Oreochromis niloticus: one gene and its partner. The protein of the gene in region 2 binds, or shares a complex with, the protein of the main gene of each other region. Links are inferred from orthologs where the notes say so. Each region holds a gene or a part of one and is shown on either strand. Other genes may lie near its edges.

The links.
Region 1: jade3 (region 2) and ing5a share a complex: the UniProt entries of both Homo sapiens proteins name them as parts of the HBO1 complex. The link is inferred for Oreochromis niloticus from reciprocal best matches to the Homo sapiens genes JADE3 and ING5.

The regions. Positions count from the first base shown.
Region 1 is NC_031986.2:38,130,352-38,134,273, reverse strand, and holds the start of ing5a (inhibitor of growth protein 5a), read right to left. Parts: upstream 2,755-3,922; 5' UTR 2,231-2,754; coding exon 2,194-2,230; intron 1,396-2,193; exon of another isoform or gene 1,312-1,395; intron 972-1,311; coding exon 900-971; intron 33-899; coding exon 1-32. Other genes in the region: plekhb2 (pleckstrin homology domain-containing family B member 2), read left to right, coding at 3,725-3,761. UniProt on the Homo sapiens protein: Component of the HBO1 complex, which specifically mediates acetylation of histone H3 at 'Lys-14' (H3K14ac) and, to a lower extent, acetylation of histone H4. Component of the MOZ/MORF complex which has a histone H3 acetyltransferase activity.
Region 2 is NC_031986.2:35,881,455-35,885,376, forward strand, and holds the start of jade3 (protein Jade-3), read right to left. Parts: upstream 2,836-3,922; 5' UTR 2,585-2,835; intron 2,579-2,584; exon of another isoform or gene 2,192-2,578; intron 1,052-2,191; 5' UTR 990-1,051; intron 908-989; 5' UTR 897-907; coding exon 848-896; intron 623-847; coding exon 540-622; intron 461-539; coding exon 303-460; intron 1-302. UniProt on the Homo sapiens protein: Scaffold subunit of some HBO1 complexes, which have a histone H4 acetyltransferase activity.

The DNA of each region.
Region 1 (3,922 bases), about 2.2 Mb from region 2:
TTCAGCCAGTTTATCGATCTCTCCTTTCTTTTCTGCACAACAACATGATCATTATAGTGCTGGATAAAACTAGTGATAAAATATTACATGTAAGCTTCCTATTTACAGTTGTGGTCAGACGTTTTCATACAGGCATGAATGCCATGGTAAGTTTGCATAGAGCTAAAATAGGGTCAAATGTTTTATTCATTTAAGTTTAAGTTTTGAAATTTAAAAAACATAAAACAGGAAAAAATATTTAAAAAAATAAAAATCTATTATTTTGTTTTGAATAAATTATTTGGTTTCATGCAAATCTAACATATCAATATGTTACAATGTAATGTTTGTAACATTGATATACATTAAGGTGGGAAAAGATTTACCACAGCAACAAGGAATACTGTTATCTGATTGGCTGGTAGGTTGCTTACCCACAAGAGCTCTGAACTCCATAGCAAAATCTAATAATTTAATAATCCTGTTCATTTCTGTATATTATACTGAAATTAGAATCTGCTAACTTAATATGCCTTTAACCTTAATGTATATATAGAGTTCGTATCTCTTGTTATGAATTAATGATTTCCTTTAAATTATTTCCTTGAACTGTTCTTATTCCAGGGTGGAATGACTGCATAGCATACATCTTTAATACCCTTATAAAACAAGACTTGGATGCATAAGTTTGAATATATTTTGGATTTTCTCTAGTCACAAAGGGTCGAAAGTGAGTGGATGTAAACTATTGACAACTGTTTGTCTAAGACTACTGGTAAGTGGTACAACCTAACACATAAGGAGCATGGCTAAACTGGGTTTTCAGGTATCGCAGATTATACTGTCAGAGCCATTTGTTTATTTTGTATAAGTCCGCAGAGCTTTTTATTGACTGTAATGTTAAGAGATTAAATTATCACCTTCAGTTCTGTTGTCCAGGTCTCGCATCAAAGTGAAGTTCCTTTGTAGCTCACATGGCAAGTTTTCAATACCTAAAGAAGAGATTAGACAATATTAATGCCTAACAGTTCATTCCAATTACATTTTCTGAACTTAATCATCACACTTAATTAATTGCCTTTGTAAAAAGTCAAATGCACAAACTCAACTGAATACTTCAAAACCATAGAAATATAAATAAGAAGTAAAGAATGGAGGTTATTATGACAATAATTACAACCTAGAAATCATTACGTTTTACACTGAAGCCTTTCTTGTTCTACCTCCTCACTTTATGGGTCTAATTCTGTTCCACCTGGTCACTCCCAATGAAAATCATAATCTTTAGCTTGACTACCTTCTGTCTGTTTGTTAGCGTTCTCTACCACCTACCTACTCAACCCTTTCAGTCTTCCTGCTATCCTTCTGTCACAAATCCGCCCTGACACTTGTCTCTGCCCACTCCATCCTGCCTGCATTCTCTTCTTCACCTTTAATGCTAAAGGCTAAAATTATTTTTTTCATTATACTTACATAACATTTTATACAACATTTAAAATACTTGATGTCAAATCTGCACATTAAAAACAACACAAATACCATCACAACCACACACTCACGTGTGCATGAATTGCAGAATGTTATCGTGTAACAACGTGTCTGTACAAAATAACGCTTTACATGTATTACATCTGTCCCAATAGCAGACATTATTAAGGGCATTCACAACAACTGACTAGTAAATACACTCTGTACGCCATGTGACGCACTTCAAACACCCCGACCCGGCGCGTAAACTGTTACGGGAAACGCGGTAACCAACAGGTTGTAAATGCTTTCCTATATAAAAACACAAACTGTGACTAAAATGATCAAAGATTAAATATAAAGGCGGTTAACATAACAATTTATCTTTAAATGCCCTTATATAACCAATGCTAGTTGCGTAGCTACAGGCTGCTCCAACATTGCTAGCGCATGAATCAGAAAAGGTTGCAACCTACAGTCAGTTTTCCTAAATATGTGAAAACAGTTAATTATTAGATTCCCTTTTGACTGAAACTGACAAGAGACATTAATAGTTTACGTACCTTTATCACTGCTAAGGTAATATCACAATGCTAACCAGTTAGCTGGCGAGCTAATGACCTAACAGCTTGTTAGTTGCAAACGCACTGCATGGAAACCGCTGTCCAAAAATTTGTAATCAACTAAACCTTTAAAAGTTGCATTTTCTATCTGTTGACAGAAATTTACCACATTCCGGATACTTACTGTCAAGGTAATGTTCCAAGTATATTGCCGTCGCCATTTCGAATTAGCTGTTTAGCTTCTGCGTTACCCTCGTTAGCTCCTCAAACTGTTGGCCAGAGAGGTTGGGTTTGTTTTGTAACCCTGGGTCGCCCGTTGGTCAGTTGGCTTGGAGTAACGCGAGTCTGTCTGCAGTCACAGGCTTCGCCGAATTAAATGAAGCGAGGCTCACAAAAACACAGAGGAAGTGGCAGTTTACCCCGAGCGTGCCTTCACTCCGAACATGCGTGCTGGAGGACAGGGCGCAACTTTTTACGTTTGGTACCTCACATGTAATAAAAAAGTTTCTAAGTACTATTCATTTACTTAAGTATTACGAACACATAACTTTGCTCCCAATCTCCTCTGCTACATTGTTTATACTAGTTTATACGCGTTCTATGCCAATTTAATGCACTCTTAACTAACTGTATCAGCCAGAAATGATGGAACCAACAAGCAAATTCGTTACACACACACTCTCAATGGAATCATGTTTAATAAACATGAGGAATATTAACACAAGCCTCGCCGTCGGCCATGTGATTGCGAAACGTTAGAAACGAACTTCAACAAGCGCGCCCTCGCTCCGTTTGCTAGCACTTTCCACCACTGTCAGCTGATAGGTTACGTCATCCAAAACAAACACCTCCCTCTCACAGAAAGACTGAACATTCGTGAAGATGCTCTGTGGGCGTGGCTTAAGGCCTCCGTTGTGTACAGTGTCCGCTAAGTTTAGCGGTCAGGGTTTTTCCTCTCCGTGGAAGGAGTCTTCTTCTTTTTCTTTTTTTTGCATCTCACTTCCGTGTTTGCTGTTTCTTCACGAAAGGCTTGCTATCACCCTCCCCCCAAAAAGCATACAAGAAATCAAGTAAGTAACTCATTTATCCACCGCTTTTACAAGTACGGATACTAATGCCCTCGGTTAAAGAACAAGTTGTGGTGTTTTAGCGTATTATAAACACGGTTAACCGATAGGTCAGCTTTGTAATGGCGACGTGTTTATATTAAAAAGCCGCTAACGGTTAGCAATAACCTACATATCAAAGAACTTATATCATATAAAATCCACATTATCACAGGGTTGCTATGGGTGGCATAGCAGTTATTAAACATGAGGACGACCTACTCACAACTGGCCTAGTCTGACTTAAAACCAGGATCACATCTAAGTAAATATCCTAAACAGTGGTTAAAGCAGGAGAACTGTCAGTTATCTGGCTTCCACTAATGTCATGTCCTAAACATTGTCTAACTAAGCATGGGGGAACTACAGAGTAACTAAACATGGTGTTAATATTTCTGGGCATGTGGCCATATTACCATGAGCTGTTATTGTAACTTATCTTATATAAGCTTCTGTTTCTGAAAATAGATTTGTGAACTTGCTAATAGTGCTAACAGTCACGAGGTTTGTGTTGGATATGCCACACCCAGTCATGTGCTCCTAGTGTCTCAGTAATAACAGATGCTCTCTAATGTGTTTACATTTTATTCTGTAGGTGTTACTTCCAAGATGGCTATGGTAAAGAGTGGCTGGCTTCATCGACAAAGTGAGTATCCAGACAAATTAAAGGAAAAACGTGAATGCTTGACCTCCACAGTAATGGGATGTATTAGTGTTTATGCTGTAAGTGGGGGCATTTGCGTGGTTTAGATGACCTGTATCCTACAATGAAACATTTTTAGCCTGATAGTAGTGATGAGATATGAA
Region 2 (3,922 bases):
GGTCACATTGAAGCCTTTCTTCTCCTCCTCTAGGAGACACAGGAGCATTCCCGATCCAGCTGACAGGTGAATTCACCCACCCAGGGCTCCTACCACTGGGTCATGAGACACCTGAGCCGGTTCCCATTGGGGTGGAGCTCCTCCAGAGCGTTCAGTCTCTGAGGCTGTGTCTGATGTAGTCATGTGCTCAGCTACGGCTGACTCATGTAAACTTGTCACTTGAGTACGCTGATCAGCGTACTCAAGTACCTGCGTGAAGAGGTGGTGGCACACTACGACCTTTGGGAGGCGGTCGGACTCACCTGACAGACGGCTCTGGGATGGTGTCTGGGCTCGCTGGCACCTGCACTCCTTTCTCCCACTCCTGCTTCCAGGTGTCTGCCAGCAGGTAGTAGTCCTCTGGGGAGACGTGGTGGGAGTCAGGCAGCTTCATGGCACTGATCAGGTCTTTCCTGAACACCTGTGGGCGAGAGAGACGCACACAGGTAGTCAAACGCCGTCCTGACATTTATTGACTCTCAGCAGAGTCTGACACGCACCTCAGCCGGCTTCTTCTGGTTGGAGGCGGGCGTTCCAGGTTTGCTCCCATATTTGTTGGAGGAGCAGAACGAGGTCGAAGGACCTAAAAGAAGAAAGAGGCGAATAAAAAGAAATGAAGGACATGCTTATTATTTTCCAGTTTTAATGATGCTACCGTCTCACACTGATTATTGAAACTGGATTCTTTTGCACCAACAGGCAGGACTGCACACAGATTACTTTCTTCTGTTGTTAGAGAAATAGTTACAGAGCATAACAGGTTAGAAACGATGATTACGCCAGAAACGAAGTGGCAAGCTCAACTCACTCTCATTGTCAGACGTGTCACTGCTGCTGGAGGACCGGAGGCGTTTCATCCTGTATCATCCTGCAGCAAAAGAAGCTGATGACATTAAAATATTGATGATTTTAAGGCCAACGGAAGTTCAGAAGAAGAAATGTGTACTCACCGTAAACTTCAAATTGAAAAGCATGCTAGTAGATTCTTCTGTCAGACCGCTTCAGTTCATATCTGCAAACCACAAGTAAATAAAGACATTTATAAATTACACAACTTTTACTTCACTGATCACATGTTATTGATTATTTTACATTTTATTGTATCCCTGCTGTAACTTTCTAATTCACTTGCTTTAAACGCGTCATCATCCCATACGATCACTTTTGTTTTATTACTTTGTGTTGCGTCTCTATCTGTGAAGGACGGAGCAGCACTCACCTGCCTCACAGGTGTCATAAAGACACAGGTATAGTGACTCATCTCACACAACAAAGCCTTATAGCAGTTCTTCTTAAAAATATTTGTTTTGTTTTTTTTAACTTTTAAAGCATATCTGTGTCAATAAACAAGAGGTCGAAGAGGCCAGAGCGACGCTGTTTCAACAGGCGGCACATGCCTGACATTCCCCATGAAGACACGAGGAAGAGGAGGAGCCAGGAGCCCCTCTCCTTGCCATAGCATAGTGACGTACACCTCACGTGAGCAGCTCAAGTCAACTTAGAGTGTTGTAAATAGAACCGCGGGTTCTCCCTGATGAACAAGAATCATATTTTCACTCCGTGTTTGTGCTTTTCTACTCGACTTTCCAGTAACCTTAAGCACCAGAGGCTGCAGTTCCTTTATTGTCCGGCAGAGGCAGCAGTGAGTTAGTTCTCATAGACTCCCTCATGGACTCGGGGACCACAGTATTGTTTCTGTGTTGCCAATTTCCTTGTTCCAGGTTTTTTAACTAGTGGTTCTAATTTTCATGAAGGAGACACTCTCATGACTTCTCAAGTGATGCCATTGACTAGCCAATCAGAACCCCGGTGGAGTATGTACAAAAAAGTACCAGGTACTATGACCTAACAGAGAACCCGAAAAACCGCAACGAGCCTACCCGAGTAGGTACTAATACTAAACAGTGGGCTCACTTCTGCCCCCAAATACAACCAGTATGGCAGCAGCTACCACTTCGATGCTGAGGGTTCAACACTGACGATGAGTGTTCCCTCCATCTTTTATGTACAGTGTGTGGAGGCTGTTCAAACAGGTTTATATATATAAGATGTCATTACTCCACAGGAAGATGTGGCAGGTGTTCTCCACCTGACATCTAACCTGTGGAGGGAGGGCGCACGGATATGACGTCAGGTTGTTTAAAAAGCTCACCTGACAGGAAACGATGAGAAAAGGCTACCACACTGTTTACTTCCCTCCCTCCTCCTGTTTTGTGCCGTTTCTTGGCTCACCTGAAAGAAAGCCTCACACACCTGTGTAAAGTGTTGGCGCCAAACTGTAAGGCCTGCCCGCGGGCTGGGAAATCAAACATGGGCGCCTCAATCACTCAAAGATGTCACTTCCTCAGAGCCTCTGAGGCGGGCATCTGTGCTGCTCCGCTGGGTTCATACCCCGGGAGCCTACCAGCCGCTGGTGGTTCCGGGGTAAAGAGGCAGGACAGCCCCAGAGAGCGCGCAGGCCCCGGGCCTGAAGGGACCGTCCAGGGCAGAGCCCAGAGCTCAGGCTCACCTCGAAACCATATTGTTCACATTTTCCCGCTCATACCTGCAGTCCCGCCGCTGCCGCCTGCGTTATTCTGCTCACACGGTCCTCACACGGCTTCGGCCCGGGCTCTGGTTCCGGACTAGGTACTTCTGTCCCCGTAGCTCAACGGGAGGATCCAGCTCTGCTGCCCGGACACCAACACGCCACAACGGCCCTATTGTACCGCGCAGCCCACCGGGTCCTAAACCCCGCCGCTCGCTGTCAGCCTCCGCCTTCCTCGGTGTGGTGTTAACGCTGCATTACCGCCCCCAAGCGGTGGGAGTGTGAACCCCGGGCAGATTTTTGTTCGATAAAACGAGACTTTTGGAAAATGAAAAAGCCCGTTTGTGGCAGGGACGGATCTAGAGGGGTGGCATAAGTTGGCATAGGGTGGCACCCTAAAATGATCTCTTGTCACCCCTAGTGCCACCCTAGTTTTGCATGTGACTGTTATTTTTAAGTACAAATAAGGTAGCCTTAACACTTTGAGCCCAGCAACAATTAAAAATGAATATAAATCCTAAAACTGATATTGCACACACACACACCGTTAACAAATGGTTTAACCCATGGCGCAGACTGGCTTTATTTCTTGTTTTCAGTAGATTTTGTAAACTTTATTGTTTACAAAATTTGTGAATAAGTTTTCAAAATTTACAATTTATATTTAATTTTAAAGTTTTAAAATAATTTATTAAACATGTCTGTTGTTTTTATGGTAAAATATTTTTATGCTTATTGGGCTACATATTTATTTATTATTTTATATTTACAGGCTATACAGGACATAAAATCAAAATTCACATGTTTTATGTAACTGAAATGTTTAATTAGGCGGGCTACAGAAAATAATGAAGTGATATACTATATTTATTTGAAACACGTATACTTACTGCATTTGAATCATTTTAACTATATGTAACACCTTTTTTAAAGACCTATGTCTTTAAAAAAGGCTTTGATTTTGCCACCCCATTTGATTTCCATGCTAGCCTAAGAACATTTCTCTAGATCCGCCCCTGGTTTGTGGGTCTTACAGTGTGAGTGGGGATGGGGCACAGTCCATTTATCAGTCTCACAGTGCAAAAAACTCATCCACCATCTACTATCCTACTGGCAGTCCTATGATCTTGTTGGGTTGTCGCTTCTCACGGGACTTCCAGCTGCTAAACCAGGATGTGAAGCTTAGCATCAGAATGTTTTCTGTTACACCTCTATTTCTATAGAGGTGTAACAGAAAACACCTCGCTGTGAGGCGAGGTGTTGGGAGTCCTGCTTTCCTGAATCTTCCGAGGGGGTGGTTTTTGTGCTTTTTTGATGACTGCTATGGTGTTAGTGTAGAAGAATGGCTCATCAGCT